Linked DNA regions of Arabidopsis thaliana. The protein of the gene in region 1 purifies or fractionates together with the protein of each later gene. This does not show direct contact. Each region holds a gene or a part of one and is shown in the gene's direction. Other genes may lie near its edges. The genes, in order: RFC2 and MCM3.

Region 1 (4,731 bases):
ACTACAGGTTTCGAATAAGCCCAATCGCTTTGTCTCTCTTCAAGCTGCTCAGCCGCAGCTTCACGAACAAGCATCGATGGCTCTCTCATCATCATTCTCCCGCTACTTGCATGTCTTAGTAACCTCGCCGCTTCTCTTAACCCTTGTCTTCTCACCGATCTCCTTCCTCCTCCTCCGTCGGTTAAAATCAAAGGCGTTGCTTCCGTCGTCGTCTCTCTTGACATTTTGCTTTCTCTTTTCAAAGTTTCTTCCTTTCTTCGAAATTTCAAAAATTGATATCGAATTGATGAAATTGGTGAAGCTTTACGCCATTAAATTGGGGCAATTTCAATCTCAGAGACAATTTCGGATTTGTTAGGGTTTCGATTCGAACAGAGAGAGAGAGAGACAGAAAGAGAAAGAAGATGATGAGTCGGACAAATCGGGAAACGTGATGTTTGAAAAATGAATATAAAAAATCAAAATTGTAATGAATTTAATGTCTCCTCAAATGACAACCAGAGAAATTAGGGGACATATATGTAATATTCAGTTTTTTCAGTGGCTATATGGTAAACTTACACTAACTTGATTCAAATTAAGGGTGGGTAAGAAACTGAACCAAACCATATTAAACCGAAATTTATTCTTTTGTCCAACTGAGTAAAAAATTAACAAAAATTCGAAAAATTTTAAGCATAATTTTTAATCGAAAACCGGAATAAATCTAAATTAAACTCAAATCCAAATTGAAAATTTTTAATCGAAAAAATTATAGTTTATACGACATCTATTTAGGGAACAAACCCAAAAAAAAACTCAACTAATTTTTATTTGGACGTTTAATACCCAATTGTTTTTGGTTGGAAGGTAAATACACGAAGTAATAAAACCGTGCAATTTAATACACAAACAAGTAATTGTTGTTATTTTCATACTCACGATCTCACAACAAAAATAAAATTCCAATTTTACCCTTACCATCTCAATTAATTATTAATTTTTTTATAATATAATATTAAATTTTATAATTTTGAATAAAAAATAATTTTATTAACATTTTAGTTTATGGTCTCTAATTTTTATTATTATTATATTATTCTAAAATTTAACATAAAAATTATAGAAAATTAAAAATATTTTAAAATGGCCGGTAAATATTCTTCGTAGTGAGAAACTCTCTTTTCGATTGTATATCCTTCAAGAATCAAACTATTTTCGACAAAATCTCAACCCGAATCTCATCGTATTTCTCAAGATTTATCAATTCATAAAAATGGCTAATTTTGTTTTTAGTAGCAAAATAGCTAACCTCAACCCAAATCTCAACGAATTAGATTAATCTTTGATTCTAAATTTCCTTAAAGAGAAAACGATTCTTTGATATTGCAACGATAGAAGAAGATTGTAATAATGACTATTTTAAAATATTTTTGATTTTCTATAATTTTTATGTTAAATTTTAGAATAATATAATAATAATAAAAATGAAAATTTAAATTTTAGAGACCATAAACTAAAATGTTAATAAAATTAATTTTTATTTAAAATTATATAATTAATATTATATTATCAAAAAATAATAGTTAATTGAGATGGTAAGAGTAAAATTGGAATTTTATTTTTGTTGTGAGATCGTGAGTATGAAAATAACAACAATTAATTATTTGTGTATTAAATTGTATGATTTTATTATTTCGTGTATTTACTTTCCAACCAAAAACAATTGAGTATTAAACGTCCAAATAAAAATTAATTGAGGTTTGTTTTGGTTTTTTTTCCCATCTATTTATAATAAAATAGACCAATTTTAAATTTATCGAACCGAACTGGGCATAAATGTAACAACGAGTTTTAAAAGGCGGGGCTATATAGTGAAATTAATATACTTTGGGTACAGAATTCGGATGTTTTCTTTTTATAGGCCCTTTAATGAAATGATTGTATAAAAGTAAAACCCTTAATCGGATCCTCCAGCAATTTTCCCTCCAAACCAGAAAACCCTCCAAATCTCACCGGTCGGAGATTCCTTCTCTTCCGACTGATAATGGCGTCTTCTTCATCAACCTCTACCGGTGACGGATACAATGAACCATGGGTGGAGAAATACAGGCCGAGCAAAGTAGTCGATATCGTTGGAAACGAAGACGCCGTCTCCAGACTTCAAGTCATTGCTCGCGACGGCAACATGCCTAATCTTATCCTTTCCGTAAGATTTTACTCTTCTGTTGACACTCTTTGATTTAAACCCTCCTCGAATTTGCTAAAAAGTTTTAGGTTTGATGAAAACTTGATCAATTAGGGCATTTTGGGTTTGTTTACTGTGTAGATTTCATGATAAAGCTTAGATTTTGAGGGTTTTTAATCAATTTCTATTGTCTGCCAAAGTTAATGAAGGTTTGATTTTTAGAAAATCTCTGTGTTTAGTATTACTTGTGGAGATTTGATATATGATTTTGTGTTGTTTGGTTGTATATCCTTAGGGTCCTCCTGGAACAGGTAAAACCACAAGCATTTTGGCTCTTGCTCATGAGCTCCTTGGCACGAATTACAAGGAGGCTGTTCTGGAGTTGAATGCATCTGATGATAGGTATGTGATGCCAATCTTTTACCTATGGGATGTTGTTCTATCTTCAATCGTTGTTTGGTTAGACATCTTCAATGTTCTGTTATGTTTGTAGGGGTATTGATGTTGTAAGGAACAAAATTAAGATGTTTGCGCAGAAGAAAGTAACACTTCCTCCAGGGCGTCATAAGGTTGTTATCCTAGATGAAGCTGACAGGTTAGTGACTTTTACTTGAGTATTCCTTCTCAAGTTGAATTGTTCCAGTTAAGTGTTTTTTTTTCTGACTTTCTGTTTTCGGTTTCTAAAAAACTAGTATGACATCTGGAGCACAACAAGCATTGAGGAGAACGATTGAAATCTATTCGAACTCTACGCGGTTTGCACTTGCTTGTAATACATCAGCCAAGATTATTGAGCCCATTCAGAGTAGATGTGCCTTAGTTCGATTCTCTAGATTATCTGATCAGCAGATACTAGGCCGTCTCTTGGTGGTGGTTGCAGCAGAGAAAGTACGGATTTGCCACTTTTCTTTCATTCGACATGTTTACTTACTGCAATTTTGAAAATTTTCTAATTGCTTATGTTTTCAATCTCTCAAGGTTCCGTATGTGCCTGAAGGCCTTGAGGCGATAATCTTTACAGCTGATGGTGACATGAGGCAAGCTCTGAACAACTTGCAAGCCACATTCAGCGGGTTTTCGTTTGTCAACCAAGAAAACGTCTTCAAGGTTTGAAACAAAACCTTAATTCACTTTGGCTTATAAAACACATTGGTTTCATATCATCAATCAAAGATCTCTTCACTTAGGTCTGTGACCAGCCTCACCCGCTTCATGTCAAGAACATTGTTCGCAATGTGTTGGAAAGTAAGTTTGACATCGCCTGTGACGGCTTAAAGCAGCTCTATGATTTGGGCTACTCTCCAACCGACATTATCACAACGCTTTTCCGTATAATAAAGAATTACGATATGGCTGAGTATCTGAAACTTGAGTTCATGAAGGTATACATCTGATTCTCCTTGACAGCTCAAAACATCCAAACTTTCGTCTAACACCAATGCTTTTCTTCAGGAAACTGGATTTGCGCATATGAGAATCTGTGATGGAGTTGGATCTTATCTTCAGCTATGTGGTCTTCTGGCTAAGTTATCCATTGTTCGTGAAACAGCGAAAGCACCTTAAGTTAGGTAACTTCCACTCATCTCTAGTGATGAACTGGTGGCCGGTCTATGTTTAAACCAAGTTGGTTAAATCTCGTTGTTTGAGAATTCGGATAGATGTTGGAACTTCCATGCTGTATTGCTCTGTTTTCTAGATTTGAATTGCTTGTGAATGTTTCTGAATATTAAGCTTAATCCTAACCAGTTTGGTATACCAACACATTTTTTTATATAATACCATGCTATTTGTTTAAATCACATAAATGAAAAAAACAATACACAGATTATTTTACACATTACAACCACTCTATATAGTCTACGCAAGTGCGAGAGATGAATCGTAATTTTTGTAGGTAAAATGTTGAACCTATTTGTGTAATTCGATAACACTATATGAGTAAGGCATGACATTGTGAAATGGTGTAAACTCTTGGTCTGTTACATTGACTTTATATTATGAATAAACACACTTGTGACCAAAAAAAAGAAAAAAGAACTGGGAACAAGAAACGAAATAAAGTTATATTTATTGAACCAAAACTATAAAATACGTTTGGTTAAAAACCAAATCTACTACAGTAACCATAATGATGACACGTCTGAAATCTTCTTCTGTAGCTCGTGTGTGTTAACCTAACATTGAAATACACAAAACAACGTATCAGAGTCATCTTCATGAAGCTTACAGACACGATAACAACTAAATACACACCATGTAACATAAGGACTCTGTTGCGAAAAATATCAGAGTAAAGCAACATGATTCACCTCAGACTCCTCCTACCTCGAGGACAAACTGTTTTAAGAAAGCATATTGAGAAAGCTTTTGTCCAATCTCCCATCATGCAACATATTTGTCACCAAGCTAATGGTTGAAGCATCTCCAACAAACCCAGAACTCCTCATTTCTTTGATGAGTTCTGCTGATGCGGCTCTGTCACAATCTCTAAGGTTTGCTCTGATAAGCGTATTATATGTACCACTATTTGGAAGAGTACCATCTTCTTTCATTTTTCTGAACAG
Region 2 (6,551 bases), on another chromosome or scaffold:
GGTATGTTTCACAAATTCTTAATCTCTCATTGATACTATGAATCTACATACATTTGGCTTGCTCTGTTTTGAATTGTATATAAGAGCCTGTTTTGGTCTTAGTTTATAGAATCTGATGAAACTTGTGTTCCCTAGTCTATTAGCTCTGGAAGTTTCCTTGCACTTGAATTGTACTACATTTTCAAAGTTGGTTTATCTCACCATGAGATTGGCTCATACATGTGACATTTTGTTTTGGAGAGACCCACTAATTGTTGTATGCCCTAATAGGTGATGGAAAGCTTGGAACATGCAATGAAACGTGGTGCTCCAATTGTAGCAGAATATCTTGGAGGTGCTGTTAATTGTGATGCTCACCATATGACTGATCCAAGAGCTGATGGTCTTGGGGTTTCTTCATGCATTGAAAGATGCCTGGAAGATGCTGGTGTATCACCTGAGGAGGTAAAAAACACAAACTTTTCATGCTTCCTAAGTTTTAAGGCTATCTGAAACAAATTTCTTCATTAGATTCGTGTTACTTCCCTACTTATATTCATTCCACGTTTTTCAGGTAAATTACATCAATGCACATGCAACTTCCACTCTTGCTGGTGATCTTGCTGAGATTAATGCCATTAAAAAGGTATTCAAGAGCACTTCAGGGATCAAAATCAACGCCACCAAGGTTCGTCCCCAATGCTCTATGATTGAGTGTTCTTCTTCTCCTCTATTTCAATGTATTTGTTTGCTTTGCATTTCCTGTGAATGACAGTTTCTGTTACAGTCTATGATAGGTCACTGCCTCGGTGCAGCTGGAGGTCTAGAAGCCATCGCCACCGTGAAGGCTATCAACACTGGATGGCTGCATCCTTCCATCAACCAATTTGTACGTATAACAGGAAGTCAAGAAAAGGCTTCTTTGATTCCGCTTTCAGTTTGAACTGTTGCAAGATTTGAACTTGGTCATTGTATTAGACTCTCACACTCTTTGTTTTCTCATTGTAGAACCCAGAACAAGCTGTGGACTTTGACACGGTCCCAAACGAGAAGAAGCAACACGAGGTTGATGTTGGTAAGTGACAAACATGACCGCCTTCTCATTGGATTAAACTGGCAACAGTTTCACTGATTAATGTCTTTCTGTTTTGCTGCAGCCATATCAAACTCGTTCGGGTTCGGTGGACACAACTCGGTAGTCGCCTTCTCTGCCTTCAAACCCTGATTTCTTCATACCTTTTAGATTCTCTGCCCTATCGGTTACTATCATCATCCATCACCACCACTTGCAGCTTCTTGGTTCACAAGTTGGAGCTCTTCCTCTGGCCTTTTGCGGTTCTTTCATTCCCCGTTTCTTACGGTTGCTGAGATTTCAGATTTTGTTTGTTCTCTCTCTTGTCTGCGGAATGTTGTGTATCTTAGTTCGTTCCATATTTGCGTAATTTATAAAAACAGAAACTGAGAGAATCTTGTAGTAACGGTGTTATTGTCAGAATAATCCAATTAGGGGATTCTCATCTTTTATTTCTCAACAATTCTTGTCGTGTTTTTACATTCGAAGAAATTAGATTTATACTGAATTTTTTTTCAGTTATACATATGTTGTGATACATCCGAAAATGTTCTCAAATCACACAGGTTTATTTTGGTTTTCATATATACATTTTTCGGTTTACTGGCTTGAAGGCAGTAGCAAAAGTTAAACCGAATTTACAATGAATTGATTTGGTATGTCTGGTTTTTGGTTTAGAATCTGGGTGTATTATACCGCCTTGAGGAAATCAAACGCGCCAAACAAGCGCGTAGACGTAAGTCCAAAATTGTACCGGCCCAAATTTGGTTAATCAAAAAGCACGTAGACGAAAGGCCCAACTAATATCGGCCCAAAATGACCCTTCCCGCCAAAAAGGGTACAGGTTATCTCACGAAATCCCGCCATAAGGAGAAGATCCGCCCTTTATGCCTCTCGAAATCGGAAATCGAAAATCTCTAATCAGTTTTTTTTTTTTAAGTAGAAGAAGAAAAGTTCTTACGAAGAACCCAGATTTTGTTAAGAAATGGATGTGCCAGAGGAGACGAGGCTTCGCCACAAGCGAGATTTTATCCAGTTCCTCGATAGTGTAAGTCGATTTCTATCACTTTTCTCACCAGACATTTCTCGAGCTTCTGTTCTTATCTAATTTGAAAAATTGGATTTTTTTTACGGATTGTGTAGATGTATATGGAGGAAATCAAGGCTTTGGTACATCAAAAGCGTCACCGTCTCATTATTAATATCTCTGACATTCACCACCACTTCAGGGAAGTTGCCTCTAGGTTCGTCATCTTCTCAATTTGTCTTCCTCGAATTTTTAATCGGTTCTTTAGTATAAGGTTATGAATTTACGGCAGATTTTAGGGTTTTGTTAGATTCAGTGAGGTTAATTTGGGGATTTTTAAGGATTCACTACAATTGTCATATGTTTTGTGACCTTAAAGTTGATTGCTTTGGTTTTTTTGGATAGGATACTGAAGAATCCAAATGAGTATATGCAGTCATTTTGTGACGCAGCCACTGAAGCTACTCGTGCTATTGACCCTAAATACTTGAAGGAAGGAGAGCTTGTCCTTGTTGGTTTTGAAGGTTATTTTGTTTCTCGCGTTGTTACTCCTAGAGAGCTTCTCTCTGATTTTATTGGATCTATGGTCTGTGTTGAGGGCATTGTCACCAAATGTAAGCTCATCATTTTCACTCTATTCCTCTGCTTTTCTTCTGTTTCCTTTGTGTTTTACGTAGAAGATTTTGAACCTCTGACACATGCTTTGCTTTCAGGCTCTCTTGTGAGGCCAAAGGTTGTTAAAAGCGTTCACTTTTGTCCATCAACCGGTGAATTTACCAATCGAGATTATCGAGACATAACATCTCACGCTGGTTTACCCACTGGCTCTGTCTATCCCACAAGGGTAATTACATGTTTTTTGTTTTCGTTTTGTTCATTTACCTGTACTGCTGGAAGATTTGCCTCTTACTGAAGATTGAGTTTTTTTTTGTTCAGGATGATAAGGGAAACTTATTGGTGACTGAGTATGGGCTGTGCAAATACAAAGATCACCAGACCTTGTCAATTCAAGAAGTGCCTGAAAATGCTGCTCCTGGTCAGCTTCCACGAAGCGTTGATGTCATTGCTGAGGATGACCTTGTTGACTCATGCAAGCCAGGAGATCGAGTATCTGTTTTCGGTATTTACAAAGCTCTTCCTGGAAAAAGCAAGGGTAGTGTAAATGGAGTCTTTAGGTGCGTTTTCTTACACATCTGTTAGTTCAAGATGTTTTCACTCTGATAGTCTTGACCGAGTTCTTTCTGTGTAGGACTATCCTCATAGCCAATAATATCGCTCTGCTCAATAAAGAAGCAAATGCACCTATATACACTAAGCAAGACCTAGATAACATTAAAAATATTGCACGAAGAGATGATGCATTTGATCTCCTTGCTCGTTCCTTAGCACCTTCTATTTATGGGCACGCTTGGATAAAGAAAGCAGTAGTTTTACTGATGCTTGGTGGTGTTGAAAAGAACCTGAAGAACGGAACCCACTTGAGGGGGTAAGTCTTGCTTGAAAACAGATTTCAGATTCGACTCATTGGATACTTTTTGTCTAACTCATTTTTCTTTCTTCACTTGAAAACAAATCTTGTGCTTTCAGAGACATCAACATGATGATGGTTGGTGATCCATCTGTTGCCAAATCTCAACTTCTGAGAGCGATAATGAATATTGCACCTTTGGCTATATCAACCACAGGCCGTGGTTCTTCCGGTGTTGGGTTAACTGCTGCTGTGACTTCTGACCAAGAAACAGGTAAAAAGCACACAAAAGCGTTTCCACATTTTTTTATCAAATGCTAAAATCAAAATTTGAAGGAAGGTCAAAAGTGCTATTTCTCATTAAAATCAAATTCTCATTTTCATCAGGGGAACGAAGACTAGAAGCTGGTGCAATGGTCCTCGCTGATAAAGGTATCGTGTGCATTGACGAGTTTGATAAGATGAATGATCAGGACCGAGTTGCTATACACGAAGTGATGGAGCAACAGACTGTAACAATTGCAAAAGCCGGTATCCATGCATCACTGAATGCTAGATGCAGTGTGGTTGCAGCTGCAAATCCCATATACGGAACTGTAAGTTCTCACCGAAGTTTTCCTAATCTACTTACTCTACTGACTAGTATTTTTTTGTCCTAATACCTACTCTTGCTCCTGCAGTATGACAGATCACTGACTCCAACAAAGAACATTGGACTTCCAGATTCGCTGCTTTCTCGTTTTGATCTACTGTTTATTGTGTTGGATCAAATGGATGCTGGTATCGACAGCATGATTTCAGAACATGTCTTGCGCATGCATCGTTACAAGAACGATAGAGGTAGGAAACAAATCATGCTTCTATGTTTTACTAAACATTTCACAACCCATGTCTTGAAACGCATCTGACTTTTGAGTGAACCATAGGTGAGGCAGGGCCAGATGGGAGCTTGCCTTACGCGAGAGAAGACAATGCTGAGAGTGAAATGTTTGTTAAGTATAACCAAACACTACATGGGAAGAAGAAAAGAGGCCAAACACATGATAAAACCCTTACGATTAAGTTCTTGAAGAAGTACATTCATTACGCCAAGCACCGTATTACACCAAAGCTCACTGATGAAGTGAGACAGTGAACTCAAATATATAAATTTTTATGTATCTGATAATCTCTTCCACTAAATCTCTTTTGTTATTAAATTTGCAGGCATCGGAACGTATTGCAGAAGCATATGCAGATCTCAGAAATGCAGGTTCCGATACTAAGGTAATTTATTTCATAAAATAACATTGGACACTGTATCTTTTTCGTCTTGGGAACTTGTATTTGACACAACCATCGAAATCTCTGCAGACTGGAGGTACGCTTCCGATAACAGCCAGAACTCTAGAGACAATAATTCGTCTTGCTACGGCACATGCCAAAATGAAGTTGAGTAGCGAGGTAACAATCTAACTCAAATCTTCTGTTTCCCCACCTGGTCGTGAATATGTTCTATTCAGATTCTTTCTAAAGTGATAACTTTATTTTGAAAGGTTACTAAAGCTGATGCAGAGGCTGCCTTGAAGCTTATGAACTTTGCAATATATCATCAAGAATTAACTGAGATGGATGATCGTGAGCAAGAAGAACGTCAAAGGGAACAAGCTGAACAAGAAAGAACACCAAGTGGACGTAGAGGCAACCAACGCAGGAATAATGAAGATGGAGCAGAGAATGACACTGCAAATGTCGACAGGTAAACTAATTTGATCTCCTCCATGGAAACCTATATCACAGCTTTCTCAACCCTTATACTTTTTTCTTTCTCTTTTGCTGGTCCATTCAGTGAAACAGCAGATCCAATGGAAGTAGATGAACCTTCTGTAGAGCAATTCAGCGGCACGGTCTCTGCAGCAAGGATTGAAACCTTTGAGCGAGTGTTTGGGCAGCACATGAGGACACACAGGCTCGATGACATCTCTATTGCAGATATAGAGACTGTTGTCAACAACAATGGGGTTGGAGCATCTCGTTACTCTGCAGATGAGATTATGGCTCTCTTAGAGGTAATTCACAAATTAAGAGACAAGCTTTCTCATTCTTTAACTTTTTATACAATATCTTCATAACTTTACTCTATTGTGGATTTTATGCAGAAACTGCAAGATGATAACAAAGTGATGATCAGCGATGGCAAAGTTCATATCATTTGATCATATGAAGAAATCAATATTGATTGCATCATCATCATCATATTAGAACTCAAAAATAGTGTAGTAGTAAACTCTTGGAAACCAAAATATCATTTTGTAAAATCTTTATTCATACGTTATGTTTTTTGCATTTACTAGTGAAGTAAAACTGATGATAAAATGCTTAAAAAAACGCATCTGATTATAAAATTTGGAATTTATAACGAAAAGCACAATCCGAGAATAAAATACTTTCATATTTATCCTATAATTTCTTGAGCTGTTTATGCCAAATTTTATACATATGTAATCGACATCAAGATTATAGTGTATATGTTGTTTTAACCCAATGGTAAGAATAGAGTTGTGCCATATATAAGCCAACTTCAAAACCCTAATAATCACTACCTTGGAACTCTCTCGTCTAAAAGATCCATGTTTTTCCATTTGGTCTCTATTACTTTTTTTTTTTTTTTCCAAAACATGTTTGCTTTGTCCATGATGGATCCTATACGTTTCTAAAATTGTACATATAATCAGGTTAAATTCCACAAAGACGGATTGAAATCAGTTTTGGTATACAGAGTAATACAACAAAATCTATTTTTTTTTTTGTTGCCAAATAACAAAATCTATTTTGGTAGGTTACTGCACACGTTTCTCTATCAACCCTAGTCAAAACAATTGAGTTACTAAATAAACTTACGTAGTTAGGCCATACATGTCTCTGATTCAGACCAGAGCTTCTCAGAAATGTTAAGGCCATGAGCAAGAGAAACTTGTCTCCACTCTAAGAATTCTAAATTCTTAAAGTAATCATAAAGTGAGACG

The links.
Region 2: the proteins of RFC2 (region 1) and MCM3 fractionate together in Arabidopsis thaliana (co-fractionation; one large-scale study listed by BioGRID). This does not show direct contact.

What each region holds. Positions count from the first base shown.
Region 1 is NC_003070.9:23,421,067-23,425,797, reverse strand, and holds RFC2 (replication factor C 2), read left to right. Parts: upstream 1-1,883; 5' UTR 1,884-2,026; coding exon 2,027-2,188; intron 2,189-2,462; coding exon 2,463-2,569; intron 2,570-2,660; coding exon 2,661-2,762; intron 2,763-2,859; coding exon 2,860-3,055; intron 3,056-3,145; coding exon 3,146-3,274; intron 3,275-3,354; coding exon 3,355-3,549; intron 3,550-3,619; coding exon 3,620-3,730; 3' UTR 3,731-3,964; downstream 3,965-4,731. Other genes in the region: AT1G63170 (Zinc finger, C3HC4 type (RING finger) family protein), read right to left, coding at 1-224; AT1G63150 (Tetratricopeptide repeat (TPR)-like superfamily protein), read right to left, coding at 4,510-4,731. UniProt on the Arabidopsis thaliana protein: May be involved in DNA replication and thus regulate cell proliferation.
Region 2 is NC_003076.8:18,769,092-18,775,642, reverse strand, and holds MCM3 (Minichromosome maintenance (MCM2/3/5) family protein), read left to right. Parts: upstream 1-1,939; 5' UTR 1,940-2,036; coding exon 2,037-2,099; intron 2,100-2,194; coding exon 2,195-2,295; intron 2,296-2,483; coding exon 2,484-2,692; intron 2,693-2,791; coding exon 2,792-2,922; intron 2,923-3,014; coding exon 3,015-3,253; intron 3,254-3,327; coding exon 3,328-3,564; intron 3,565-3,665; coding exon 3,666-3,820; intron 3,821-3,933; coding exon 3,934-4,142; intron 4,143-4,226; coding exon 4,227-4,386; intron 4,387-4,472; coding exon 4,473-4,669; coding exon of another isoform or gene 4,670-4,681; exon of another isoform or gene 4,682-4,752; coding exon 4,753-4,812; exon of another isoform or gene 4,813-4,899; coding exon 4,900-4,989; coding exon of another isoform or gene 4,990-5,001; exon of another isoform or gene 5,002-5,081; coding exon 5,082-5,284; coding exon of another isoform or gene 5,285-5,288; exon of another isoform or gene 5,289-5,374; coding exon 5,375-5,594; intron 5,595-5,684; coding exon 5,685-5,741; 3' UTR 5,742-5,994; downstream 5,995-6,551. Other genes in the region: KASI (3-ketoacyl-acyl carrier protein synthase I), read left to right, coding at 1-1, 271-444, 554-667, 767-916, 988-1,054, 1,137-1,204.